Linked DNA regions of Oryctolagus cuniculus. The protein of the gene in region 1 purifies or fractionates together with the protein of each later gene. This does not show direct contact. Links are inferred from orthologs where the notes say so. Each region holds a gene or a part of one and is shown in the gene's direction. Other genes may lie near its edges. The genes, in order: POLR3H, POLR3K, POLR2L, POLR3GL, POLR3G, CRCP and POLR1D.

What was found.
Region 2: the proteins of POLR3H (region 1) and POLR3K purify together in Homo sapiens (affinity purification with mass spectrometry; 3 studies listed by BioGRID and IntAct, with this or other methods). This does not show direct contact. The link is inferred for Oryctolagus cuniculus from reciprocal best matches to the Homo sapiens genes POLR3H and POLR3K.
Region 3: the proteins of POLR3H (region 1) and POLR2L purify together in Homo sapiens (affinity purification with mass spectrometry; 4 studies listed by BioGRID and IntAct, with this or other methods). This does not show direct contact. The link is inferred for Oryctolagus cuniculus from reciprocal best matches to the Homo sapiens genes POLR3H and POLR2L.
Region 4: the proteins of POLR3H (region 1) and POLR3GL purify together in Homo sapiens (co-immunoprecipitation; 4 studies listed by BioGRID and IntAct, counting the BioPlex papers as one, with this or other methods). This does not show direct contact. The link is inferred for Oryctolagus cuniculus from reciprocal best matches to the Homo sapiens genes POLR3H and POLR3GL.
Region 5: the proteins of POLR3H (region 1) and POLR3G purify together in Homo sapiens (affinity purification with mass spectrometry; 5 studies listed by BioGRID and IntAct, with this or other methods). This does not show direct contact. The link is inferred for Oryctolagus cuniculus from reciprocal best matches to the Homo sapiens genes POLR3H and POLR3G.
Region 6: the proteins of POLR3H (region 1) and CRCP purify together in Homo sapiens (affinity purification with mass spectrometry; 4 studies listed by BioGRID and IntAct, with this or other methods). This does not show direct contact. The link is inferred for Oryctolagus cuniculus from reciprocal best matches to the Homo sapiens genes POLR3H and CRCP.
Region 7: the proteins of POLR3H (region 1) and POLR1D purify together in Homo sapiens (affinity purification with mass spectrometry; 6 studies listed by BioGRID and IntAct, with this or other methods). This does not show direct contact. The link is inferred for Oryctolagus cuniculus from reciprocal best matches to the Homo sapiens genes POLR3H and POLR1D.

What each region holds. Positions count from the first base shown.
Region 1 is NC_091442.1:117,537,247-117,541,417, reverse strand, and holds the start of POLR3H (DNA-directed RNA polymerase III subunit RPC8), read left to right. Parts: upstream 1-1,371; 5' UTR 1,372-1,451; exon of another isoform or gene 1,452-1,471; intron 1,472-1,689; 5' UTR 1,690-1,709; coding exon 1,710-1,820; intron 1,821-2,443; coding exon 2,444-2,540; intron 2,541-4,171.
Region 2 is NC_091450.1:34,570,322-34,574,373, forward strand, and holds the start of POLR3K (DNA-directed RNA polymerase III subunit RPC10), read left to right. Parts: upstream 1-1,252; coding exon 1,253-1,363; intron 1,364-3,418; coding exon 3,419-3,506; intron 3,507-4,052. Other genes in the region: SNRNP25 (U11/U12 small nuclear ribonucleoprotein 25 kDa protein), read right to left, coding at 1-57, 778-819. UniProt on the Homo sapiens protein: Core component of RNA polymerase III (Pol III) which synthesizes small non-coding RNAs using the four ribonucleoside triphosphates as substrates. Can mediate Pol I proofreading of the nascent RNA transcript.
Region 3 is NC_091432.1:353,577-356,499, reverse strand, and holds POLR2L (DNA-directed RNA polymerases I, II, and III subunit RPABC5), read left to right. Parts: upstream 1-1,420; 5' UTR 1,421-1,490; coding exon 1,491-1,585; intron 1,586-2,187; coding exon 2,188-2,296; 3' UTR 2,297-2,423; downstream 2,424-2,923. UniProt on the Homo sapiens protein: DNA-dependent RNA polymerase catalyzes the transcription of DNA into RNA using the four ribonucleoside triphosphates as substrates.
Region 4 is NC_091438.1:48,928,009-48,932,068, reverse strand, and holds the start of POLR3GL (DNA-directed RNA polymerase III subunit RPC7-like), read left to right. Parts: upstream 1-1,500; intron 1,501-2,006; 5' UTR 2,007-2,101; exon of another isoform or gene 2,102-2,192; intron 2,193-2,413; exon of another isoform or gene 2,414-2,543; intron 2,544-4,060. Other genes in the region: ANKRD34A (ankyrin repeat domain-containing protein 34A), read right to left, coding at 1-1,384. UniProt on the Homo sapiens protein: DNA-dependent RNA polymerase catalyzes the transcription of DNA into RNA using the four ribonucleoside triphosphates as substrates. Specific peripheric component of RNA polymerase III which synthesizes small RNAs, such as 5S rRNA and tRNAs.
Region 5 is NC_091445.1:13,209,319-13,212,818, forward strand, and holds part of POLR3G (DNA-directed RNA polymerase III subunit RPC7), read left to right. Parts: intron 1-286; coding exon 287-416; intron 417-3,500. UniProt on the Homo sapiens protein: DNA-dependent RNA polymerase catalyzes the transcription of DNA into RNA using the four ribonucleoside triphosphates as substrates.
Region 6 is NC_091450.1:66,207,975-66,211,474, forward strand, and holds part of CRCP (DNA-directed RNA polymerase III subunit RPC9), read left to right. Parts: intron 1-272; coding exon 273-309; intron 310-2,578; coding exon 2,579-2,677; intron 2,678-3,500. UniProt on the Homo sapiens protein: DNA-dependent RNA polymerase catalyzes the transcription of DNA into RNA using the four ribonucleoside triphosphates as substrates.
Region 7 is NC_091440.1:86,895,497-86,899,510, reverse strand, and holds the start of POLR1D (protein POLR1D), read left to right. Parts: upstream 1-1,214; 5' UTR 1,215-1,367; coding exon 1,368-1,393; intron 1,394-4,014.

The sequences.
Region 1 (4,171 bases):
GTATCTCATATGGGTGCTGGTTTGGGTCCTGGCTGCTTCCCCACTGATCCAGCTCTCTACTATGGCCTGGGAAAAGCAGCAGCAGGTGGTACAAGTGCTTGGGCCCCTGCACCCATGTGGGAGACCCCGAAGAAGCTCCTGGCTCCTAGCCTTGGCCTGGCCCAGTGCTGGCTGTTGAGGCCATCTGAGGGAGTGAACCAGTGGATGGGAGACCTCTGCCTCTCCCTCTTTCTCTGTAATTCTCACTTTCAAATAAAAAAAACAAAATGAAAATCCAGTTATTCCCATATCCACCAATTTTATATTATTTTTATTTTTTGACAGGCAGAGTTAGCGAGAGAGAGAGACAGAGAGAAAGGTCTTCTTTTTTTCTGTTGGTTCACCCCCCAGATGGCCGCCATGGCCGGTGCTGTGCAGATCCTAAGCCAGGAGCCAGGTGCTTCCTCCTGGTATCCCACACGGGTGCAGGGCCCAAGCACCTGGGCCATCCTCCACTGCCTTCCCGGGCCACAGCAGAGAGCTGGCCTGGAAGAGGAGCAACCAGGCCTAGAACCCGGTACCCACATGGGATGCGGGCGCCGCAGGCGGAGGATTAACCAAGTGAGCCATGGCGCCGGCGCTTCCACCAACTCTTAGAGGCAGCACGGGTATAAGCTTAGAGGGGCTCATCTCTGGCACGTGGCAGCCGGTGGCCCTGGACAGCTTGCTGAGTTCTCTTAGCCCGCGTTAGTGTCCTGTCAGAGGGACAGGACAGGATCCTGGGGGGAACAGAACGGGCAAAGCTGGAGAGAGGTGCCAGGGCCAGATCGCACAGAGCCCAGTGAGCCGCCAGGAAGGAAGGTTTTGGACTTTATTCTCAGTTCAGCGGGAAGCTACAGAGGAGTGTGTGTGTGTGTGTGTGTGTGTGTGCGCGCGCGTGTGTATACTATATATATATGCACTGTTATATATTCTATATACATACACTATATAGAGACTATATATATAGTCCCAATTGATTATCACTTCAAATTGAGATGTAATCTGCCTACAATGAAATGCACGGAGTCTGATGAGAGCTGTCAGCTCTACGAAGAGCTAAAAGGGGGTCGAGAATATTTCCATCACCCAGGAAGGGTCCCTCCGTTCTACTTCCCTGTCAGGGCTCCCCGACTCCGGGCGGAAGGTCGGAAGCATTGCCGACTTGCGTTTTGCAAGGATCGTTCCGGATGCGGGGACCCGCAAGCAAGAGATGCCCCAGCCCGGGAGAGCGGCAGGGGGTTGCCTAGCAACGAGAGGCGCCGCCGGGTCTTCCCGGGGAGGCCCCGCCCCTCCCCGTGCGGCAGCCTGTAGAGAGCCCCGCCCCGCGTCTGGGGGCGGACAGAAGCTTCTTATTGGTCGGCTCTCCGGAAGCGACGGGATTCGGAATCTCGCGCACGGTGGTTAACTCCCGCAGCTGCGTGCCGTGCGCGGTGCGAGGCGGCGGCGCGTGGTGCGGGCGCGGGGCGGAGGGGCTCTCGTGCCGTGCGCTCCAGCGAGGGCGCTGCCCGCCGGGCCTCTGTTTCCCGTCGCTTCCGCAGCCGAGCATGGCCCTCGCCGGGCGCCGCAGACGCTACCGCGCAGCCCCGCTGTTGGCCTGAGGGGGGCCGGTCGGGCACGGGGCTCCCAGGACCCCAGGCCCCGGTGCGTGACCGCCCGTCCCTCTCGCAGAGCCGCCAGCGCAGGCCGGGATGTTCGTCCTGGTGGAGATGGTGGACACCGTGCGGATCCCCCCCTGGCAGTTTGAGAGGAAGCTCAACGACTCCATCGCCGAGGAGCTGAACAAGAAGCTGGCCAACAAGGTGCGGGGCGGAGCGTGCCTCACGGGGGCTGGCGGGGAGCGGGGGAGAGGCCGAGGACGGGCCTGAGAAGGGGGCTCGTGCCTGGGGCGTGCGCGCTCGCACAGCGCGGGTCCCTTCGTCTGCGGCGAGTTGCCGGCCCGCCGCAGGTGCGCCGCCGCTGGGGCGCGGACCAGCCGTCTGACGCGGGATGCAGGTGGCCCCGGCTTAGCGCGCGCCCGTCACGGCTCTGTTCCCTCTCTACCTCTGCCTGCCTGCTCCATGCCTGTCTGTTGATGGAGTGGATGAGTGGCGGAGCGGTGTCCCGACCAGCAGGCGGAGCGGGGGTCCCTTCGTTGGGCGTGACGAGTTGGGGTGCACGCTGCCAGGGACTGGTGCTCGCGAACCTGTGGCACGAGGGAGCCGCGTCCGCAGCGAGGGGGTCAGGCAGCTGTGGTGGGAGCCGGCGGCCAGGCTGAGCCCTGCTGGCCGGGAGGCGCTGACCAGAGGGTTTGTGGGTGGGAGAGAGGTGTGCAGGGCCCCGGCCCGGTGGGCGGAGCCGGGCGCCTGTCCTGGAGGCGCTGCGGCTTGGATGGGCGGGGGCGGGAGGTGGCGGCAGCCCGCGGTCACCGTGTGTCGCGGCGCAGGTGGTGTACAACGTGGGACTCTGCATCTGCCTCTTCGACATCACCAAGCTGGAGGACGCCTACGTGTTTCCAGGCGACGGCGCGTCGCACACCAAAGGTAGGCGTCTTCTCGGGGCTGGGGCTCCTGGCAGAGATGGCCGGGGTCCTGTCCCACCTGGGGACCCTGGAAGTGGGCAGCCCCCTCCCCCTCGGCCTGAGCGTCTGCCGGGGCGGGGGTGGATCGGCGACTCTCAAGGCCTCTCTGGGTCCGAGGCTGTGGTCCATGGCTGTGCCCCTCCTCCCGCCCACTGCCAAGCCCTGTCTGCCTGGTGCTCTGGCCACTCACTGCCCTGGGAGAGGGCAGGCCAGGAGCGTGGGGACGCCGGAGTGGCCCTCGCGGTTAGAAGAGAGAGGCAGGCCGGCGCCGCGGCTCACTAGGCTAATCCTCCGCCTAGCGGCGCCGGCACACCGGGTTCTAGTCCCGGTCGGGGCGCCGGATTCTGTCCCGGTTGCCCCTCTTCCAGGCCAGCCCTCTGCTGTGGCCAGGGAGTGCAGTGGAGGATGGCCCAGGTGCTTGGGCCCTGCACCCCATGGGAGACCAGGAAAAGTACCTGGCTCCTGGCTCCTGCCATCGGATCAGCGCGGTGCGCCGGCCGCAGCGCGCTGGCCGCGGCGGCCATTGGAGGGTGAACCAACGGCAAAGGAAGACCTTTCTCTCTGTCTCTCTCTCTCACTGTCCACTCTGCCTGTCAAAAAAAAAAAAAAAAAAAGAAGAGAGAGGCAGAGGGAACGGAAGAGCAGGCCGGGGGGGACCTCAGGGGCACAGGACGCAAAGCTTAGCACTGACCTTGCGAGCTTTGGTGCGCGCCCAGCGCAGGGGTGTCTGCATTCCGGCACGTGCCGGGAGGCTGCCAGGCGTCTGTCCCGGCATCCCGAGAGCTCACTGGTCCACACGGTGTTGCCGTGCGGTGCAGAGAGCACAACAGGCTGTCTGTATGAGTAGAAAAATCAGACCGTGGCATGGAAGCCGTCTTGAGGGCCCCTGGCCACAGAGGAGGCCACCAGGCCAAGCCTGGTGTGCACTGGACGGGGCCTGGCTGTCCAGGAGACAGGTGGTCACAGGCACGAGGGCCTCGAGGAGAAGTGAGGTCGCAGGGATCTCTGCTCGCTTGATTTCTGACACCTGGTGTAGGGTTTGCACCGCTGTTTTGACTTATGTGTGTATTTATTTATTTTGAAAAGCCGAGTTAAAGAGGGAGAGACAGAGCTTGTTCATTTGCTGGTTCTCTCCCTAAATGGCCACAACAGCTGGGACTGGGCCAGGAGCTTGGAGCTTCATCCAGGCCTCCCACATGGTGCAGGGGCCCAGGCACTTCATCCGGGAGCTGAATAGGAAGTGGAGCAGCCGGGACTCGAACTGGTGCCCACCTAGGTTGCAGACAGCTGCTTCATCCACGACACTACAACATCGGCCCCTCCCACTTCTATTTTTTATGTATTTTTATTTCATTTCTTTGAAAGGCAGAGTTAGATCTTTCATCCACTGATTCACTCCCCAGATGGCCACAACAGCAGGGGGCAGGCCAGCCGGAAGCCAGGAGCTTCATCCGGGTCTCCCACATGGCTGGGAGGGCACACTTTGAGCCATCTCCTGCTGCTTTTCCCAGGCCATTAGCTGGGAGCTGGATTGGAAGTGGAGCAGTGGGACTATGAACCGGTGCCCGTGAGGGGTGCTGGCACTGCAGCCTA
Region 2 (4,052 bases), on another chromosome or scaffold:
CGTCATCGCTTGGCCGTATTCTAGTGCAATCTGGGAGTTGATCTCTTCCAAAGTCACCTAGAAAGCGCCAAGCAGGGGCAGTGGGAACCCTGGCTTTGTTTATCAGCCCAAACGGAACCAAACTTTATGGAGGGCCGGGGGAGGGGCTCCCTTTAGCACCTCAGTCTCAGGTTCCACCCGACTTCTCTATTTCATGCCGAATGGCTGTGGAAGCAGGGAGAGTGAGCCCCCAGGGGCTGCTGGGGGGGGAGGAGGGAGACGCTGGGCCTTTCAGTTTGCCCAAGAGCCCCTGGTCACCAGGATCCAGGCCAGAGCCCTGGACTAAGTGGGAGGCATGTGTGCAAAATACACAAGGCAGGAACACACGGCAGTGATAAGACTGCAGTATAACACTTTTCTTAGAGGAAATTCGCCTCTGCATCTACTTATTTGACGGGGGCGGGGCGGGGAGGAAGGAGAGGGGAGAGAAACACGAGTCTTCCATCCGCAAACGGCCCCAGCACCCAGGGCTAGGCCACGCCGAAGCCAGGGGCCGGGAGCCTCACCGGGCCCCAGGCACTGGGCCGCCCTCCGCCGCTCCCCGAGGAGCGCTGGCAGGGAGCCGGAAGGGAGCGGAGCAGCCGGAGCTCCCATTCTTCAACTGTCCTTTACCGACAACCTTCTGCATCAAGTTTGGCACCGTTTCCCCTGCCCCTTCACGCCGGGCCCGGACCAGGCCGGCCGCAGTCCCCCATCAGCACCTCTCCGGCGGCAGGTGGCCGCTCTGGCCGCGCGCACCTGGATCGGCAGGTCGCAGAGCAGCGGGTCCTGCACCACCATGGCGAGACCCTCCTGGAACACGTCCACCGCTTCCGAGTGAGGCAGCGTCTCCTCTTCGTCCTCATCCTCCTCCGGCACCTCGGGCCCCTCGGCCTCCTCGGCCTGCTCCGCTGCCTCCACGGTCGCCAGCCCGGAGCCGCCGGCCGCCGGCCCAGCCACTCCACGCTCGGGAGGCGGAGCACGGACGCGGACTGGGCCCACCTCCGTGAGGACGTCCAACCACCGGCGGGCCAAGGGGCGGGGCGGGCGCCCCAACCAATGGGAGTGCGAGGCGGCTTGCCGCAGGGCCGGCTGGGAGCGAGGGTCGGCGTGTCTATTGGTGGGCTAGCGGCGGGGGCCGCCGGGACCAACGTGAGGTCGAGGTGGGCGGGGTGTCGGCGTCGCGCGGCCAGGGAGCTTCCGGCCGTGGGGGCGCGCGGGCCAGGGCGCCGCCATGCTGCTGTTCTGCCCCGGCTGCGGGAACGGGCTGATCGTGGAGGAGGGCCAGCGCTGCCACCGCTTCGCCTGCAACACCTGCCCCTACGTGCACAACATCACCCGCAAGGTGGGCCTCGACGTTAGGGTCGGCCTCCGGCGGCCCCGGCCTCGCGTCCCTGGCCTGTGGGCGCATCTGTCCAAGACGCGCGCACGCCGGCGCCTCTCGCCTGGCCCGGCCGCCGCCTCCCTTCTGGGGCTGGTTTCGGAGTCGCCTGGTCGGGGCAGGGCGGCGGCTCCAGCTCCGGCCGCGGCCGCCCTCGGTGCCGCTCCGCGTCCCGCGTGGCGCCCGGCGTTCCTCGGGCGGCCTCCGTTTACTCGCGCTCCCTGGAGTGCTCCCGCCCCCCTCGGTCCCTTCTGCTGCCTTGTGGTCCGAGCGCGGTCCAGGGCAGAAGGCCTCGGCAGGCCTCCTTCCCTGTGTTTGTCCGGCCGCCTGGCTCGCACCTGGAGCCCCGGGGTGTCCAGCCGGCGAGCCGCGCGCACTGGCCTGGCACCCACCTGGAGCCCCGGGGTGTCCAGCCGGCCAGCCGCCCGCACTGGCCTGGCACCCACCTGGAGCCCCGGGGTGTCCAGCCGGCCAGCCGCCCGCACTGGTCTGCCGTGCACCTGAAGCCCCGGGGTGTCCAGCTGGCGAGCCGCGCGCACTGGTCTGGTGTGCACCTGGAGCCCCGGGGTGCCCAGCCGGCGAGCCGCGCGCACTGGCCTGGCACGCACCTGGAGCCCCAGGGTGTCCAACTGGCGAGCCGCCCGCACTGGCCTGGCACCCACCTGGAGCCCCGGGGTGTCCAGCCGGCGAGCCGCCCGCACTGGCCTGGCACCCACCTGGAGCCCCGGGGTGTCCAGCCGGCCAGCCGCGCGCACTGGTCTGCCCTGCACCTGGAGCCCCGGGGTGCCCAGCCGGCGAGCCGCCCGCACTGGCCTGGCACCCACCTGGAGCCCCGGGGTGTCCAGCCGGCGAGCCGCCCGCACTGGTCTGCCGTGCACCTGGAGCCCCGGGGTGTCCAGTTGGCGAGCCGCGCGCACTGGTCTGCCCTGCACCTGGAGCCCCGGGGTGTCCAGCCGGCGAGCCGCCCGCACTGGCCTGGCACCCACCTGGAGCCCCCGGGTGTCCAGCCGGCCAGCCGCCCGCACTGGTCTGCCGTGCACCTGAAGCCCCGGGGTGTCCAGCTGGCGAGCCGCGCGCACTGGTCTGGTGTGCACCTGGAGCCCCGGGGTGCCCAGCCGGCGAGCCGCGCGCACTGGCCTGGCACGCACCTGGAGCCCCAGGGTGTCCAACTGGCGAGCCGCCCGCACTGGCCTGGCACCCACCTGGAGCCCCGGGGTGTCCAGCCGGCGAGCCGCCCGCACTGGCCTGGCACCCACCTGGAGCCCCGGGGTGTCCAGCCGGCCAGCCGCGCGCACTGGTCTGCCCTGCACCTGGAGCCCCGGGGTGCCCAGCCGGCGAGCCGCCCGCACTGGCCTGGCACCCACCTGGAGCCCCGGGGTGTCCAGCCGGCGAGCCGCCCGCACTGGTCTGCCGTGCACCTGGAGCCCCGGGGTGTCCAGTTGGCGAGCCGCGCGCACTGGTCTGCCCTGCACCTGGAGCCCCGGGGTGTCCAGCCGGCGAGCCGCCCGCACTGGCCTGGCACGCACCTGGAGCCCCGGGGTGTCCAGTCGGCCAGCCGCCCGCACTGGCCTGGCACGCACCTGGAGCCCCGGGGTGTCCAGCCGGCGAGCCGCCCGCACTGGTCTGCCGTGCACCTGGAGCCCCGGGGTGTCCAGCCGGCGAGCCGCCCGCACTGGTCTGCCGTGCACCTGGAGCCCCGGGGTGTCCAGCCGGCGAGCCGCCCGCACTGGTCTGCCGTGCACCTGGAGCCCCGGGGTGTCCAGCCGGCGAGTCGCGCGCACTGGCCTGGCACCCACCTGGAGCCCCCGGGGTGCCCAGCCGGCCAGCCGCCCGCACTGGCCTGGCACGCACCTGGAGCCCCGGGGTGCCCAGCCGGCCAGCCGCGCACTCTCGCGCACACATGGTTAGCGCCTGTCACTTCCCCTCCTCCTCACGGCTGTGCGTCTGCTGGGCTCCCTCCATTCTCTGCCCTGGTGGTCCTGTCCCCTTGCTTGGAGGCTGAGGACTTGTTTCTGTTAGGTCACAAACCGGAAGTATCCGAAGCTGAAAGAAGTGGACGACGTGCTTGGGGGAGCGGCCGCCTGGGAGAATGTTGACTCCACTGCAGGTGAGGGGAACCTTTTCTGACTCCGAGCTGGGAGTGGCCTGAGGTTGCTAACTGTGCCCTGTCTCATCTGATCACTTGGATGATGTAAGCACCTCAGAATGGAAGATATTGCCTTCGGCCGGTGCCGCGGCTCACTAGGCTAATCCTTCGCCTGCGGCGCCGGCACCCCGGGTTCTAGTCCCGGTCGGGGCACCGGATTCTGTCCTGGTTGCTCCTCTTCCAGGCCAGCTCTCTGCTGTGGCCCGGGAGGGCAGTGGAGGATGGCCCAAGTGCTTGGGCCCTGCACCCCATGGGAGACCAGGAGAAGCACCTGGCTCCTGCCTTCGGATCAGCGCGGTGCGCCGGCCGCAGCGCGGCGGCCATTGGAGGGTGAACCAACGGCAAAAGGAAGACCTTTCTCTCTGTCTCTTTCTCTCACTGTCCACTCTGCCTGTCAAAAAAAAAAAAGGAAGATATTATAATTATTGTTATTATAAAGCAACAAAAATAATATTTGTTATTTTATAATAAATATTATAATTATAATATTTGTTATTTTATAATTGT
Region 3 (2,923 bases), on another chromosome or scaffold:
CACCACCAGGAAAGCCCCCCACCCTCCCCAGAGAGGCCCAGCTGCTGCCCCCCACGCCACCACGGGCCAGGCCAGGGCTGACCCCTCGAGGCTCCCCAGCAGGCGCAAGTGCAGAGGGGGCGGGGCGCGCTGGGGGACATCCGGGAGCCCCCCCACCTCAGGTCGGCACGCACGCGGAATCCCAGGAATGCCGCCTTGGCCAGGGCCCCCGCAGGGGAGGGCGGCTCACTCCCCCACTCCCACAGTAAACAGCGGCGCCCAGTGGGAGCAGGGGCGGGGCAGGCCCCTGACCCCTCCCCCAGGAAGGCCCCACTCACGCGCTGGGCGCCCACCGGGCTGGCCTCCCGGACCCGGGCTCCCTCTCCTCCACAGCCGCGGCCGCCGAGCCTGGGTCTGACCCCAGGCCACGGTGACTCACGGCCCCATCCTGCCCCTCTGGCCAGGGCAGGATGTGCGTCCACTCAGCCTGGGGGAGGGAGGCAGAGAAGGGAAGTGGCCAGGGCTCGTGGCTCCGCACGTGGCCGAGAGGGCACTAACCCTGGCAGGGCAGTGGCTCTGGGCAGCCCCACTCCGGACCTGAGACCCTTCGTCCCCGTCCCTGTCCAGCGTCTGCCCTGAGCGGGCACTCAGCAGATGCCGGGGTCCCGCGTGAGGACCCCGCCCCGGCCACACATCCAAGGCCAGCAAACCTGGCCAGAGCCCCGCGGGGGCCACGGGCAACACCCCCACAGCCCTGCGGCTCCCCAGCCCGCCTGGGGCAGCCGGGGCACCAGGCTCAGCCCGGTCCACCCGGGAGGCAGCAGCCCCGCCCGTGGAGCCCCTGAAGGGGACGCACAGCTGGGGCTGCCCCTACGCGGGGGCCCTGGCCTTCGAGGGTCAGCTCAAAGGGGCTGACCACACGCCCAGCGCCAGGCCCGGGAAAGAGCGAACAAGACGCCGACAGACTGCCGTCGGGGCTCCCAGCAACTCCCCGCGGGGACCCGAGCCTCGCGCAGGGCTCAAGGGACAGCGACCGGGTCCAGGCCGGGCCGGGCCGGGAGGCGGGAAGGTCCGTCCGAGGCCTCCCGCCCCGGGGCCAGACCCTCTCGCCGGGCCCCTCGCCCGGCCCCACTTGTTGCTGCGACCGGCCTGGGGCTCCGCACTGGAGGTGGCGCTCGCGCGCCGCGGCTGATGTCCGCGTCCGGGTCCAGCCGGCGCCCGCGTAGTACCTGGGCCGCCGCCTCCCGCCGCCGCACCGCGTCGTCCGCTCCCGCCGCGCAGCTGTCAGTCAAGCGGACACGAGAAACGCGAACCGGCGCCGCCGAGCCCTTTTGGCCGAGCCCAGTCGCCGTAGCGCGGCACGTACCAAACCGCCGGACGGGGGGCGCCGCCGGACGCGGCCTCCAATCGGCGCCGAGGAACCCCGCGCCAGTGGGCGCGCCCGGGGCGGGGCCTGCAGCGCCGCGGACGGGCCCGGCAGTGCGCGGGGCTGCCGCGGAGTGCGCGCCGCCATGATCATCCCGGTGCGCTGTTTCACGTGCGGCAAGATCGTCGGCAACAAGTGGGAGGCCTACCTGGGGCTGCTGCAGGCGGAGTACACCGAGGGGTGAGGCGCCGGGCGCGTGGGGCCCGGGGGCGGGGCGGGGCGGGGACCGGGCCCACCCGCGCCTCCTGTCCCGCGCCGCGGGCTGACGCGGGGCTGCGGCGGGGCGGAGGGGCAGGGGCTGCTTTGCCGAGGCCCCTCGGTCGCGCCTTCTCACTCCCAAGCCGCCTCCTCCGCCCCCCGGAGCCAGCGCTGCAGGAGTTTTCTGGAAGCGTCTCGTTGGTTTCCGGAAGTAGAAGGGTGGCTCCCTGAGAGTGGGGGTCCCGCGGGGCTGCGGTCGTGGTCGGGAGTCCCGGCCCCCGGGGGAGGGGGCGCCGGGGCTGCCCTGGCCACCGTGAGCCCAGCCTGGGAGAGGGCGGGCCGGGGCTGGGCCGGGAGGCTGGAGCCTCTGGGTGGGGAAGGGGTGGCCCTGGGTGGCTCCTCCCCGGTGCATCCTGGGGGGACCTGTCCACCTGGCCTGGAGCAGGGGCGAGCCCGGCTGTCTGGTCGCAGGGATGCTCCGGCCGCTGGGCCCGGGCTGGGCCGGGAGGCCGGAGCCCCCGGGTGGGAAGGGGCGCGCTGGGGGCGAGCCCGGCGCAGGCCGCCTCACTGCTGTCTGGTCGCAGGGACGCCCTGGACGCCCTGGGGCTGAAGCGCTACTGCTGCCGCCGAATGCTGCTGGCCCACGTGGACCTCATCGAGAAACTGCTCAACTACGCGCCCCTGGAGAAGTAGCGCCGCCCCGCCATGGCCCGCGGCGTCCTGCCCTGCGTCCTCGCGGCCGGGCTGTCAGACGCCGGGAGCAGAGGCGGGCCGCGCGCACGCATGTCGCCAGCCGCCCAGTAAAGTCCTTGCACAAACACCACTGGTCCCCTCCTTGGCCTCGCTCCGCCCCCCCCCCCCCAGTCCACCTGGCCCAGCTGTCTCGGGGTCCTGGTTCCTGCTCCCTGGTCCCCGCCCACCCAGCGTGGCTGCTCGTCCGAGCCTGCACTGCCTGCTGCGGTCAGCGGCTGCCCTTGCCTGGGTCCCCACCCTGTGGCCCTGTCGGGGTCGCACCAGCCCTGAGCGCCCTCAGGCTCCCGGGGGCCCTTCCCGGGCTGTCCCTGCGGGCCCAGGCTGAGGGCCAGGGAGCAGCTACTCCCAGCAACCCACACGGGGCCGAGCCCGCGGTCAGCTGGGGACGGGGACCAGGGCAGAGCAGGGCCATGGTGGCCGAGCCACTGCTGTCCCCAGGGTGTTGGCCGCATCGCAGAGCTGTCCCCGGCTCCTGGCAGGACCTGCAGGCCCCTCGTCTGCTCACTGCCTGTGCCACAGTGACCACAGTGGGCCCAGGGCCAGCTGGAGACGCCAGCACCCCTACGC
Region 4 (4,060 bases), on another chromosome or scaffold:
TGGGAGAGCCTGGCGCCCCCGCATGCGGAGGGGCAGGCAGCGAAGGCGCCCGACCTCCGGCTTGGGGACGAATGTCGGGGATGGGAGGGTGGGGGCTGACGTTGAGCGGAGGCAGGAAACCTGGGCGCGTTTGCGAGATGTGGTCCAGGAGCAACGTCCCGGAGCCCCTCCGCTCCAGCAGCCCGGGGCTCCGCCTCCGTCCGCTCAGCGGCGATACAGCCCCGGGCAGACTCTCCTGGGACTGGCGCGGGGAGGGAGCCGAGCCGGCTAGAGGGAGGGTCAGCGGGGAGGCGCTGTATCGGCGACGCTCCAGGGACAGGCGACTGGACTCGGGCGAGTCGGGGCAAAGATGTCCGGGGGTGTCGAGCTCCACCGGCTCCATGCGGCTGAGCTTCTGCCTCAACCCCGAGGCTGGGCCAGACTCCTGAGCCTCGGGCGCTGTGTTCCGGCGCGAGAGAGGCCCCCCGCCCGTCACTTTCTCCGCCCACGGGGGCGGGTCCTCCGGGCCTTCGGTGCTGTGACGTCGGGAAAGACGGGGTCTGCCGCTCAGGGTCAGCCCGTTGAAGTCGGCGGTCAAGCGCTCGATCCCCGGCCTCCCTTCGGCGGGCGGAACCGGCTGTGGAGGGGCCACCAGGCCCCAGGGCTCGGAGTTGAGCCTTTTGAGTGGTTTCGGGGGATGGCGGGGCGGTTTGGGGAGAGGCTCTGAAGGGGAAGGGTCATCGGGGGGTTTAGGAAGAGGGAATTCGAATACGTCCCGCTTCTCCTCCTCCTCCTGGGCGCGAGGGGACAACAAGCCACGCCCTCCTCCTGCAGTCTGCAACTGGATTTCTGAAGGCGACGTGCAGACTCCCGGGCTAGGTGGAGCGGGAGCAGGATCCTCCACCCCCGGGGACGGTGGAGAATTGAGATACTGCCGCGTCTTCTTGGTGCCCGAGGGCGACGTATCGGTAGTGATGATGATGACCTCCGTGCCCTTGGCCTTGCAGGCGTCCAGCAGTGTGGCGAGGGTCTCGCGGTCCCCACGGTCCAGGGCGTGGACAAGCGCCGAGGCGCCTGCGTGATCTCTGACGGAGGGGTCTGCGCCGTGCTCCAGGAGCAGCGAAGCCACCGCGGCGCCCCCACCTCCGGCGCAAGCATGCATGAGAGCCGTGCGCCCTAGGCGGTCTGCGATGTTGGGGTCCGCGCCTTGCTCCAGGAGGTAGCGTACCATGCGCGCCTTGTTCTGGGGGTCGTCGTAACGGGCCCGACAGGCCGCCATTAGCGCAGTCTCCCCCTGGGCATCGCCCTCATTCACGTAGGCGCCCCCCTCCAGAAGCAAACGGGCCAAACGCAGCTTACCCTGACCCACAGCCCGAAGCAGAGCGTGGCCCTCGGTGTGCAGCATAGCTGCGGCTGGAGAGAGGGCACTGATGGAGCCGGGTCTGGGACCTGCCGCAGATGGCTAGGGGTCTGGGGGTGGTGCTTGACAGAGGCCTGGGGTCTCAGTGATGAAGCTGAACCCTACAAGAAAGAGATGGATCATATTGGCGGATTCAGCAAGGAAACTGAGGCACCGCTGGAGGCGTCCGGTGTGAGGCGACACACAGTCCTGCCTCTAACTCGTGCCTTGGAGCCTCCCCTTCCCCCCAGCGCATGCCTGAGGAGGTGGGAAGGGTGCACCCGCGCTGAAGGGTGAGCGCGCGTGCAGCTGCGTACGTGCACGCGCAGAGACATCCGTACCCCCACTCTCACCCCCACGGCTTCTCAGACCTTTCCAGCATCCCCCTTTTCTTACCCACACTTGGAATCCCCCTTTCTAGGATGCTGAACGCCACCCACCCACACACATGCTCCCGTATAAACACATATTCCCATTCCTAACCTCTTTTAGGTTGCCACAGCCCCAAAAATTGAGTAGGGGGAGGGAAGCAGCTTGCATTTGGGACCTAAAACGGGTGGAGGGAGAATTGGGGGTTTCTTTTGCTCCTGCTGTATTCCCCATCACTCCTTGCTCTTTCCCCTCCCAGGCTGTGCACCCAAATAGATACCTGAATGTCCGCAGAATCTCTGCCTGGCCAGGATTGAGGCCGTGTTCACCGGACAGCCGGGGTGGCGGAGCCAGGTTCCCAGGGGCCCACATGGCGTGGGGGGGCACCCGATTCCCTTGGTGTCAGAATCTGCGCCCCGGCACCGGATCCTGGTCCCTCCTCCCGGTGCGCCCCGGGCACAGCGCCGGCTCGGGAGGAGAGAAGCTGGGGGGGCGGGGGGGAAGGGGGCGGAGCTCTCCTATGCTATTTATAGCCCAGTCTCTGCGGGTGGGGGCGTCCGGCAGCAAACCGCTCCCCCACTCATGCACACATAAACCCTGAAAAACCTGGAGGCTCCAATCTTGACTTCCCTTATCTGAGCCGACCTCCCCTAAGCCCCAACAAACCTAAAGTGTCCCTTAGGGGACGACTCCGAGACCACGACAGCGACCATCCGAATTCTCGGCAGAGCCTCAGCAGATCTCCATTCTCCGCATTTGGTGTGCTTGTGCGCCAGACTTAACCTGTCACACACCGCACATGACACACTGTGCAGAGGGGTGTAGCCAGTCGATTGGGATCCGGAGCCGGCATCCATACGGTAGTGTGCAGAGAAACGGGAGGTCTGACTGCCTTCTTGCAGTTGAAATCCCTGGTAGATCACGGTCCAGTCAGGAATCAGACAGGGAGGTACATCACTACCCCACCTCCACCAAAAGGGGACACACAGCACAGAGAGCCTCAGCTCCTTTATGCAGACCCCTTAGATGAGCAGGAAGGAAAGTGGATGTCTGGGGGCATTTTTACATAGGGCGAGGGGCGTTCCCAGGTGCCGCCTCCTTCTAATCTTGGGAGGAGAGACCTACTAGAAAGGGGGCAGGGAAAGGAGGGAACCAAGTAACACCTTCTCTCATTGCATTTCCTTACTCTCAGTCTTGCTTAGACTCTTTATTTTTCCATCTTGCTTGAAGGTCTCTATTCTGGTTGCTCTTGGTGTTTTCTGTCTTCCTATCTGTCACTATCTGTCTCTCTCACTGTCTGCCTCTCCTTGCCACCTGCCCTGTCTCCATGGTTACCATAGCTTCCATCTGCATATTTTAGGAATGAATTTCTGTCCAGCTGGAAGGTACCAAGGGAAATGGGGGAACGAGGAAAGAATGCTAAGGATCTGAAAAGTTCACCTAGGGTCCTGAGATAATTTAGACTGGAGGTCCGCAGACACAAGTGTCTAAAAATAACATCCCTGGGGCTCATGAAGTGGTCTAGCAACATAAGGGAAGGCCTGTTACCAGGCATCCTGTATAAGTTCTGGTTCAAATCCTGGTGGCTCCATTTGCAACCCAACTCCCTGCTATTGCGCCTGGAAAAGCAGTGAAAGTGACTCACGTGAGAGACCTGGATGGAGTTCCTGTCTCCAGATTTCAGTTTGGCTTCCTGTCTCCAGATTTCAGTTTGGCTCAGCCCTGGCTATTGTAGCCATCTGGAGAATGAACCAGTGGTTGGAAAATCTTTTATTTCCTCTCTGTAACTCTTCTTCTTCTTCTTCTTCTTTTTTTTTTTTTTTTTTTTTTTTTTTTTACTTTTGACAGGCAGAGTGGACAGCGAGAGAGAGAGAGAGAGAGAGAGACACCCCCAATGGCCGACGCGGCGGGCGCATCGCACTGATCCAAAGCCAGGAGCCAGGTGCTTCTCCTAGTCTCCCATGGGGTGCAGGGCCCAAGCACTTGGGTCATCCTCCACTGCACTCCTGGGCCATAGCAGAGAGCTGGCCTGGAAGAGGGGCAACTGGGACAGAATCCGGCGCCCCAACCAGGACTAGAACCCGGTGTGCCGGCGCCACAAGGCGGAGGATTAGCCTATTGAGCCACGGCGCTGGCCTGTAACTCTTTTTTTTTTTTTAAAGATTTATTTTATTTATTTGAAAGGCAGAGTTAGAGAGAGAGGTAGAGAGAGAGAGAGAGAGAGAGGTCTTCCATCCACTGGTTCACTCCCCAACTGGCCACAACAGCCAAAACTGTTTCGCTCTGAAGCCAGGAGCCAGGAGCTTCTTCCAG
Region 5 (3,500 bases), on another chromosome or scaffold:
TAACCTGCTGTACCCTGTGCCGGCCCCAGGTGCCTTGTGTTTTGCAACATGAGGTCACATTCATCAGCAGACTACACAGCAGAACGAGTGTTGGTCTCTTTCCCACCTCGAAAAGAAGGGCAAGATGGGAAGTGGGCTGAAAGGTTAAGGTAGATCAGAGCAGGTCAGCACCTTGTGAATTGATCGTAGAGCTTAGTGCCCAGTAAAACATGGTTTTTCAGTAAAACTGATATTTTCTAGAAAATAAACAACATGGGGCATTAAAACATTCTTTGTCTCTTAATAGGATACAGATTATAAGCCAGTGCCACTGAAAACAGGGGAAGGTGAAGATTACATGCTGGCCTTGAAACAGGAGCTGAGAGAAACAATGAAAAGGATGCCTTATTTCATTGAGCCGCCCGAAGAGAAGCAAGGTGTGTATTGGACTCTGATCATGTGAATTTAATGTAAATACATGGACCAGTGGGTAAGCACAGGATGTGTTCTCATTTCATGCTCACTCAGTTTATTCAGAATTTAACAACTACCCTGAAAAAACCGTGTTTATGGGGCTTAACAGAAGAAAAATAAGGATTTTGGGTTTTTTAAGATTTATTTATTTTATCTGAGAGGCAGAGTTAGAGAGGGAGGGAGGGAAGAAGGGAGAGAGAAGTCTTCTATCTGCTGGTTCACTCCCCAACCGGCCACATGGCCAGAGCTGCACCAATCTGGAGCCAGGAGTTTCTTCCAGGTCTCCCATATGGGTACAGGGGCCCAAGACCTTGGGCCATTTTCTACTGCTTTCCCAGGCCATAGCAGAGAGCTGGATTGGAAGTGAAGCAGCGAGGACTCAAACTGGTTCTTGTATGGGATGCCTGCACTGCAGGAGGTAGCTTTATCTGCTATGCCACAGTGCTGCTCCCAGATTTTTTGATATTTTAAAAAATATCTTTCACAGTAGAAGTGATACATGATTAGTGAAAATTATGAAAAACAGATGGCTGGCGCCGCAGCTCAATAGGCTAATCCTCCGCCTGCGGTGCCGGCACACCAGGTTCTAGTCCCAGTCAGGGCACCGGATTCTGTCCCGGTTGCCCCTCTTCCAGGCCAGCTCTCTGCTGTGGCCCGGGAGTGCAGTGGAGGATGGCCCAAGTCCTTGGGCCCTGCACCCGCATGGGAGACCAGGAGAAACACCTGGCTCCTGGCTTCAGATCAGCGCGATGCGCCAGCCGCAGCGGCCATTGGGGGATGAACCAACGGAAAAGGAAGACCTTTCTCTCTGTCTCTTTCTCTCTCACTGTCCACTCTGCCTGTCCAGAAAAAAAAAGAAAATTATGAAAAACAAAAATTTCCAATTTCCACGTGTAAAAATTACCCATGGCTGTGTCTACAGGACTACTAGTAAGCTTTTAGTGAATAGCGTGCATACTTTTTTCTGTATGTATTTAATGAATTGGATTCATATGACTTCATATCTTAATTTTTGTATTCAGTAGCACATTATTAGTATTTTCACATATCCTCATTATTCTTGAAAAATGTGAGTTTAATGATTGTGTATTAGCTGTTGTCAGGCTATATATAACATTATTAATCAACTGATTCCCTGTTATTAGATTTAGGTTTTTTTTGTTTATATATATAATGCTGTGATTGCTGTCATTATTGTAAATGCCTACATGTCTCCCATTACTTAATATTTAAGTTACAAACTTTAAAAATCCTTAGGTTTGTTTAGTCATGGGTATATCTGCTATGATGGAAAATATAAAATAAAATAATGTGCTCACTGGTGAAGCTAAGAGCAGAGAGGAGGCCTCTGGCTGGAGAAGGCACAGCAACCTCCAGCAGGAAGTGGGAAGTGGCTTTAGAGGCAGGGAAGCCCCTTCTGAGCAGTTGCATTGATCTTCAGCATCTGCCCTTGATTGAAATTGGAGATCAATATCATCTTAGGTTGCTCAAAACAACATCATTAAAACAGGAGAAATTCATCAAGGATCATCTCATTGCATTAGTATTAAAAATGCATTCCATTTTCCCTCTCTCTAAAAGACTTAAAAGTGGCTCACCGCCAAGCAGGAAGTCATGTACTTGGGATTGTAAAAAGCATTTTCGACAAGCTCATTGAATTTTCAATACGCTTGAAGTTATATAATGGTTTGATGCGAGAGAGTTTGCTTCAAAGTACTGTGTGTTTACTTTGATGATTATTGTCTGTTTCACCTCTTTGAGTTGAAAAATTGGAATTAAAACTTTCATTTTTTTCTCTGACTCTGCCTTTCAAGTCAATAAAAAAAATCTTCGTAGCAAAAGCTTTCATTTCATAAACTGAACAAAGTATTGTTACGGGTGAAATGGCAGTGGAGAAAATGTTACCTCGGTTCTTTGTCTCACATGGAGGAAGAATTTCCAAGCGGACCAGGCAGAGAGAAAGCATTTACAAGGAGTTAAAAGCAAGATTTGTTAGAGTCAGAGACCTCCGGCCAGAGTGGCCTGCTAGGGCTCCATGAGGGGCAGAGCCCTCAGGGGCTGGTGCTACTGGGGCTTTTAAGCCCCGTTTTGGAGAAGAAGCTGTCAATCAGTGTAAGGCGGGGACAAAACCCATCAAAAGACCTGATCTGTAATCTTTTTACCCTGTCTCAGTTGCTCATGAGAAAACAAAAGAGCTGTCCCAAGAGTAGGATACCTAATTTACTTTATAGTAAATTGAGAGCTCAGAAGAATGGAATCACCTCTCCCTAGCTGTTCTCATGGTAAGACTGGAAATTGCTAAGGAGTATCAGGCAGGCTCTTTTAATCTTGCTAAAAGTAACTTTGGGGGGAAGCATTCTGCACCCTGAATTTCTACCGGGACCACCCTGACTACTTGTTAACCCGTCTGACCCCTCACAGTATGACCAAATAAATGCTTGTTCTGTTTAAAATACTCAGTACAAAGTATACTTCAGTCTTTTTTTTAAAAAAATTATTTATTTATTTGCAAAGCAGAGTTAGAGAGAGATAGTCGGAAAGAGGTCTTCCATCTGCTGGTTGACTCCCCAAATGGCCACAATGGCTAGAGCTGGGCAGATCAGAAGCCAGGAGCCAGGGTCTTCTTCTGAGTCTCCCACGTGGGTGCAGGGACCCAAGGACTTGGGCCGTCTTCCACCGCTTTCCCAGAAGCCTTAGCAAGGAGCTGGATCAGAAGTGGAGCACCTGGGACTTGAACTGGCACCCATATGGGATGTGAGCACTGAAGGCAGCAGCCTAACCAGCCACACCATAGTGCTGGCTGCAACCCGTCAGTCTTTTTACAAGTAGTCTTTTCTCTCGATCGGGGATAGATTTGCGTAACTGAATGTGGTGGTTTTAAAAGTTTTAAAAGTCTAATGTAAAAGTATGTCGAATCCTCCAAGTGCTTGTGTGAATCTGTTAGGGACATTGGGAGCATGCTTCGGAACACCAAGAAACAATTTTCTTCATATATCATGTGGATCCAATTTGTTTTTATGTTTGTAAATATTTTAAAGTTACTTTTA
Region 6 (3,500 bases), on another chromosome or scaffold:
GAACTCATACTTCTGCCTGTATAGAATTGGGACAAGTATAGTATTTTAATCATCTGCTTGGTGATGGGTGTGTGATATGCTGTGGATATAAAAAAGAAAGAACACTCTGAAGTTGTCTACAACCTGCTAAACCATGTAGGATTTAGGACATTTCTCAGTTTTAGGATGTAGTCCCCAAATTGCTGAACTGGATTACTGGATTCTTTTATGATATTTAATACCCAGAGAAGGGTATAAGCCTGGACTGATAATAACTTACTTTTCTTTTGCAGGAAGGATGCCAATTCTGCACTGCTCAGTAACTATGAGGTAAGTGGCTTTGAAGTGGACTGTTGTATATGTTTTTCTCCCAGAAAGGTATCTCTTTACTTCTGGGGATTGTTGAATTAGATTTAGTTAGAAATTACTGGATTCATTTGGGTTTTCACTTTTTTTTTTTTTTTTTTTTTTTTTTTTTTGACAGGCAGAGTGGACAGTGAGAGAGAGACAGAGAGAAAGGTCTTCCTTTGCCGTTGGTTCACCCTCCAATGGCCACCGCGGCCGGCGCACCGCACTGATCCGATGGCAGGAGCCAGGAGCCAGGTGCTTTTCCTGGTCTTCCATGGAGTGCAGGGCCCAAGCACCTGGGCCATCCTCCACTGCACTCCCTGGCCACAGCAGAGAGCTGGCCTGGAAGAGGGGCAACCGGGACAGAATCCAGTGCCCCGACTGGGACTAGAACCCGGTGTGCCGGCGCCGCTAGGCGGAGGATTAGCCTAGTGAGCTGCGGCGCCGGCCGGGTTTTCACTTTTAAAACAGGATAGACGGCCCTGTCGGTTGGATCTTGAATTATTTGAGGCTTGATAAATCATACGTAGTATTTCTGGGAAGATGGGAAGACTTTAAATCAAGCAAACTTTCTAAGTCCTCAAAATTCTAGTAACCATTGGGGATGCCTTCTTGGGATGGAAGCCATCTATTTTAGCACTGTTTCTGTGTGCAAAAGTTTTCTAATAAAATGCTTATTTCTCTTCATAATTACCCATTTTACCTATGAAATGCTTTTTTATACATTATTATTTTGATCCTCAGTCCATAGGTGGTACCATCCTTGTTTTGAAAGTAAAGGTTTAGTTGAATCACCATTATGAATGATTAGAAGACTTAAAATTTAAGGGACTTACAGGGTAGGGTTGCTGGGGAAAGGGAGGAAAGAAAGAGGTTGATGAAGGAGGAGATGTGATAGTATTTTGTGTACCTATTTTGCACAGGGCCTATTTGGTACCAGCATCTGACAGGCCCAGTTTTCCATATGCCAGAGTCTAAACTCATAAAGAGTTAAAGGAGGTCTGAGTTTCCATTGTGTGATATTTAGAGAAGGTACTGGAATAAACACGATTGGCTGTATTCCTTCCAAAAGGTTCATCCTAAATGGTTGCTGCTTAAAACAGGAAGGAAATGTCTGTTGGTCAGCCCATTGGCTTTTAGGAACCTCTTTGTCCATTTTGAACTTTGCTAGGTGTTTGATCTTTTGTCCATTGGGGACACCATGCATTCACTGGGCCCCATGTATTTGTAAAAGGAACAGCAGGCAGGGATAGGAGTTGCATTGTATCTAATAATGGTCTGTGAGCCTGTATTTCCCTCCATTTTCTGGCAGAGTCTCTGAAACAGCAGAGATCCCTTCTCCCACCCCAGCATGGATACACATCTGTTTTTCTCTTGCTGGGAAATGTAGCATTTCGTCCTTTCTTTTTTGAAAACTATTAAATCACTTGCTTCATAATTTTTCTTTTCTGGAAAGAAATTATTATGCTAAATTTTCATATTAGAGGAACAAAACCCTTTTTAAAAATATTATATATTTAGTTTAGCAAAATTTATTTATTTTATACTCTTATCTAAATATAAAAATATTTATATATTTTTGAAATATCTGGTATGTTTTTTGAGATCAGAGATCAGTTAGATGGCATATACTGATAGGAAACATTTGAAATATTTTAATTAAAATAATTTGGATTATTTGATTTAGATAAAAGAGCATTTTTTAAATGTCTCATGCTTCTGGGATTCATATTTACTCCAATCCAAGAGTTGGGAGGCAGGTTGTAAGGAAGAAAGAGGTATTATACTTACCTAATTGTCTTTTTTTTTAAATGTACATGAAAAAAATTTTTTTTTTTTTTTTTTTTTAGATTTTATTTAGTTATTTGAGAGGTAGAGTTAGAGAGAGAAAGAGAGAGACAGAAAAATCTTCCATCCACTGGTTTGCTCTCCAAATGGCCACAATGGCTGGAGCTGGGCCAACCTGAAGACAGCAGCCTGGAGCTTCTTTTGGGTCTCCCATGTGGGTGCAGGGGTCCAAGCCCTTGGGCCATCTTCTGCTGCTTTCCCAGGCCATAAGGAGAGAGTTGGGTCAGAAGTGGAGCAGCTGGGACTCAAACAGGCACCCATATGGGATGCCCGGTGCTGCAGGCCGAGGCTTTGCCCACTATGCCACAGTGCCGTACCCCCTAATTATCTTCCAGTATCATGGACCTTGGAATAGAACGTTTCTCAAATGTATTTATAAAGTCTTTTGTATATCTCTTCCTAGGTGTTCCAGTTACTAACTGATCTGAAAGAGCGGCGTAAACAAAGTGGGAAGAATAAACAGAGTTCTGGGCAACAGAACTTGAATACTATCACCTATGAAGTAAGCCTGGGCTTCTGGAGGCCTCCCTAAGCCACCACTGAGCGCTGTTGGTTTACTCTGCTGATAACTGGCCACCCAATCAAGATCACCTCTTACCTCATGTGCGGAGTGTTACTCTAACCCAGTGTTTATTCTGTTTATATAAAAGTGGGGGTGATTTGGCCAACAGAAGTGGTTAGTTAGCCACAAAAGTGGAAGGAATAGTCTGACTGCCCTCACCTCTGAACCCCAGTTCCATATTTGGGAATCCTCATCCTGAGGCTTCTGTAATTTACTGCATGACTCACAGATCTGACTGAAAGCTATTATAGTCATGACTGTTGTACATGCATCACAGGGAAAGGATACAGTTGTTGTTGCTTTTAAAGATTGATTTATTTGCAAGGCAAAGCAACCTAGACAGTTGAAGAGAGAGACACAGAGATCTTCCCTCTGCTAGTCTCCTCATCAAATGGCCACAGCGGCCGTGGTTGGGCTAGGCTGAAGGCAGGAGCCTGGAGCTCCATCTGGGTCTTCCACTGCTTTTCCAGGTACATTAGCAGAGAGGTGGATTGGAAGAGAACAGCCGGGACTGATACCATTGCTCGTATGGAATGTCAGTGTTGCAGGTTGCAGCTTAACCTGCTACCTGATGTTGATTTTTAAATTATTTACTTATTCATTTCTTTGAGAGGTAGAGACAGAGCTTTCATCTGCTGTTTCACTTCTCAAATGCCGGCAATGGCTTGGCCCAGGTTGAAGCCAGGAGCTGGGAACTCAGTCCAGGTTTCCTGCTTGGGTGACTGGGACCCACCTACTTGAACCATCACTTGCTGCCTCCCAG
Region 7 (4,014 bases), on another chromosome or scaffold:
CTGGCCAAGACTTCACTTCTCAACCGCCCCTGCTGCCTTCCCGGGGGCGAGCGCCGGGCTGAGCGGCCCAACCCGACACGCTGCTGGGCCAATCGGCGGCGCCACAGGGCGGGGAGGGGGCGGATCAGAGGCGGATCCACCTATCAGAGAACGCAGGGGGCGGACCAGGAGGGGCCGTCATTCCTAGGTTAGAGTGAACCTACTCCGTCCCTCGCCCCTCGCCCTCCCCCACCCGCCTGGGGCTGTCCCCGCCGCTCGCCTGATTCCTCTGTGGAAGGCGCTCGGCAAGTGTGTGAGCGAGCGCCGGGCAGCCGCGGGGACAGCGGGACAGCTGAGCAGGGGACGCACGGAGCGGGGTGGGGGGAGGTCGAGGGGAACAGGTGGCGCGGGAGAGCAGGCGTGTAGGTGTGCTGGGCGAGAGGACAGCCGGGGTAGAGGGCAGCGACCGGGGCTGGCCGGCGTTAGAGAGGTTGCGGGAGCCGGGGGTGAGCAGCGGGGAGCAGCACTGAACACTCCCAGAGAGGAAGGGGCCGGAGAGGGAACCCCGCCGAGGAAAGGCTGCCGAAGCGGGGTAGGGGACGCCTGGGAACAAAGATGAGAGGGAGGTTCCCCGGGGGTGGGGTGCAGAAGGGGTAAAGAAAAGGGTGGAAGGGAGGTGCATGGCCGGGGGAAGGAAAGGACGGGGTGGGTGAGTGTGCTCCCAAACTCCCACTTCTCCCCTAAGGAAAACGGTAAACGCTTGTCCTGTGTCCCGGGGGAGATGCTTAGCTGCAAGAACCCCACTGAGTACTGTCTTGAAGCACCACGTTCTGTTAACGAGACTCAGCCCCTCCTATTTAAGGACGGTATAGCCCAAGCCTGCGGTCCCACAAGAGGTTGGATTCCCGGGAGGCCACAGGGTTCCAGTCGAGTCTAGCAGGCCGGACTTGGGTCCCAAGAAGGGAGGTGATGTGGGGGCGGCAGGTAAGGCCCTGCCCCCTTCGCCACCAGTTGGGGAGACGGTACCAAAGGTGGAGCTCGGGCGCACGCACTGTGACCGGGGCCTCCGGGTGCGACGCCAGCGGGCCCTCCGCCGCCCTCCTCCCGGCTCGCCCCGCACGCCGCCAGGCTGGGGGCGCGCCAGGTGAGCGGCTCGGGCCCGGCGCCACCGCCCTCCTCGCGCCGGGGGCGGGGCCGGGGGCGGAGCCTCCACGTCCCGCCCAGCGCCCGGACCCTGCCGCGCCGCTGCGGCTCCTCCTCCCTCCTTCCGTCGCCGCCTTCTTCCGTCCGTCGTTCCTTCCTTCCTGCCTCAGCCGCTCAGCTCGCGGCATGGGGCAGAGCCTCCGATCGGCCAGCACCACCTGAGGATCCTGGAACCGGCACCCGCGATGGAGGACGACCAAGAGCTGGAGAGGTAACGGCCGAGAAGGCGGGCGGGGCGGGCGGAGTAGGCCGCGCCCAGGCAGGGGAGCGGGCGGTACCGGGCACGCGGCCCGGCCCGGGCCTAACCTCCGCGGCCCTGCAGAGCAGCAGGGGCCCGACCCGGGACGCTGAGAGAGGGAACAGGGCCCGACGGGGAGGAGAAGGGAGGAGTCGTGGATGTGTTTGAATAGAGGCGCTCCGAGGGACAGTAGTTCTCGAGGAGGGCGGACCAGTTGGCAGAGCAGAGTTGGGTCCCGAAACTGCCCAACCCCGTTAGAACAGCGGCGTATTCAGTCCGGCTTAAGCCCCCCCGTCACTACCGCTCTCCCTCCTCCTCCGTGCAGACTGTTAGCCGTGTAGCCCTGCCTCAAAGCGCTGAGTTCTGTTTCTCCCTCCCGCTGTACTGTTTCAGCTCTTACCGTTTCCTAGCTTCCTTACCTCTTGCAAGTGGAAGCCATAGTTGGGCCTGCACATTGATAATCTGTAGTCTCTGTTTATATGCTGGAGCAATCTTGTGTTTTTCTACACCTTCAACTCCCTTTTCCTCTTCCAGCAGGGCTCACCCTATGCTATATCCCTTTCTTGTGACTCTTCCAAAAGAAATGTCTTTGCAGACACTTAAGTGTATGTTTTTCTAAGAAGATGCTCCGTGTGGCCCACGTGGATAGTTAATGGAGCAGGGAGAAACTGGAGTCAGCAAATTAAATATTCATTGGTAGAAGTGGTGGAGGCAGAAAAGAGAGAGGCTGACAGTTCTGTGTGTAATTGCTGTGGATTAGAGTAATGATGTGTGGCAATTGTGATATAGTAAATGAAAAAAAAAGCTAGTTACAATATTCAGTATGATCTCACTTTTATAAAAAATATGTGTGTAGAAAAATGTCTGGATTGAAGACCTCAATGGCCGAAGGCGAGAGGAAGACAGCCCTGGAAATGGTCCAGGCAGCTGGAACAGATAGACACTGTGTGACATTTGTTTTGCACGAGGAGGACCATACCCTAGGAAATTCTCTGCGTTACATGATTATGAAGAACCCGGAAGTGGAATTTTGTGGTTACACTACGACCCATCCTTCAGAGAGCAAAATTAATTTGCGCATTCAGACTCGAGGTGCTCTTCCAGCTGTTGAGCCATTTCAGAGAGGGCTGAATGAGCTCATGAATGTCTGCCAACATGTGCTTGACAAGTTTGAGGCCAGCATAAAGCACTATAAGGATCAAAAAGCAAGCAGAAGTGAATCCACATTCTAGTCCCTTGTGCAGGATACAAGGAGGACTAATCTCTGGGATACTCTTCTTCATGATTGTGCAGAACCCAGAATTAGAAGTTTGTGATTACAACAACCTGCTCTATCTTTCCAAAAAAAAAAAAAAAAAATGGTTCTAGCTGTTGACCCATTCATCACAGCTGTTGGAATCCCCGCAAGAACCTGTGTATTCTCCTAATAAATTCCCTCTTTTATTGAAACTATTTTTGAGTGGTTTCTGTTCCTTGCAACATCCTCAAGGATGACTTTATTTGCTTGCAGTAGAGCCAACATTTAAAGTGATAAAACAGAGCATCAGGCACCCAAAATAGTGGTTTCATCATGGGAATCAAAAGGAGTATACATTCCTGACTAGGATTGGGGTGGTGAGGCAAAGAGGAGATGGAATAGACCATTACGCAGATAGACTGGTGGGTTTCAAAAAGAAAGAAGGTCAGGATGTGGACTTGGCTTCTTAGATATTTTACTGATGAGAAAGTTGTATCCTTTTCTCTTAGGGGATTGGGTAAGGTTAGGGAATAATTTGAAAGAATTTTGAGAATTCTGGTTTCACATGAGGGTCTCAGGAGTTATCCAGCTCCATCTTTGTACCATCTATAGAATAATTGTTTACTGCCTGAGGAGAAACCTGGAATGAGCAAATTACATTTTTAGTCTAAGTAGGTATCCAACTGTAGCCTAGGGTCATATAGAAGAAACACTATTTGAGAGAAAGGACACAGAGGGAAAATACCATGTGGAGAAAATGACTTGGAAAACTTGAAATATTAGTGAAATCACATCCAAGAGCCATTGTATCTGTCTACATCTTCAACATCTTTCATACCAGTCATACCAGAACTTCCTTCTTCAATTATCCTAAATACCTGTCAACCCTAGAGCCTGAGCACTCCCATATCCCAATGCACTGTGCTTTGGGGCCTTAGTTGATCCTATTTATTCGTGTGATCCTGGGACCTAGCACAACACTGGACAGCAGGTGGACACTTAGTAAATATGAGATGAATCCCTGTAGGTAGTTATGGCATGTTAGCTTTTCAGTAACTCTTAGTTGAGCTGCCCTAGAGCCTCTTTAAAGATATTTATTTATAGAGCTTCTGGTTTGTACCTTGGGGATAGGTATAATAGTGAGACACAATAAGTGTTGCATAAGAGAAACAATATTTTTAAAAAGTTGTAATTCTGGGGAAGAAAATACAATATCAAGATAGAAAGCATGAGAGAGAATTTTGCTTTAGGTATGGAAGTCAGGGAAGCTCTTCCCAAGATTACAGGAAGAGAAGGCTCTCATGATGGAAATTAACATTGTGAGGGAATAGCATGTACAGAGGCCCTGAAGCAGAAA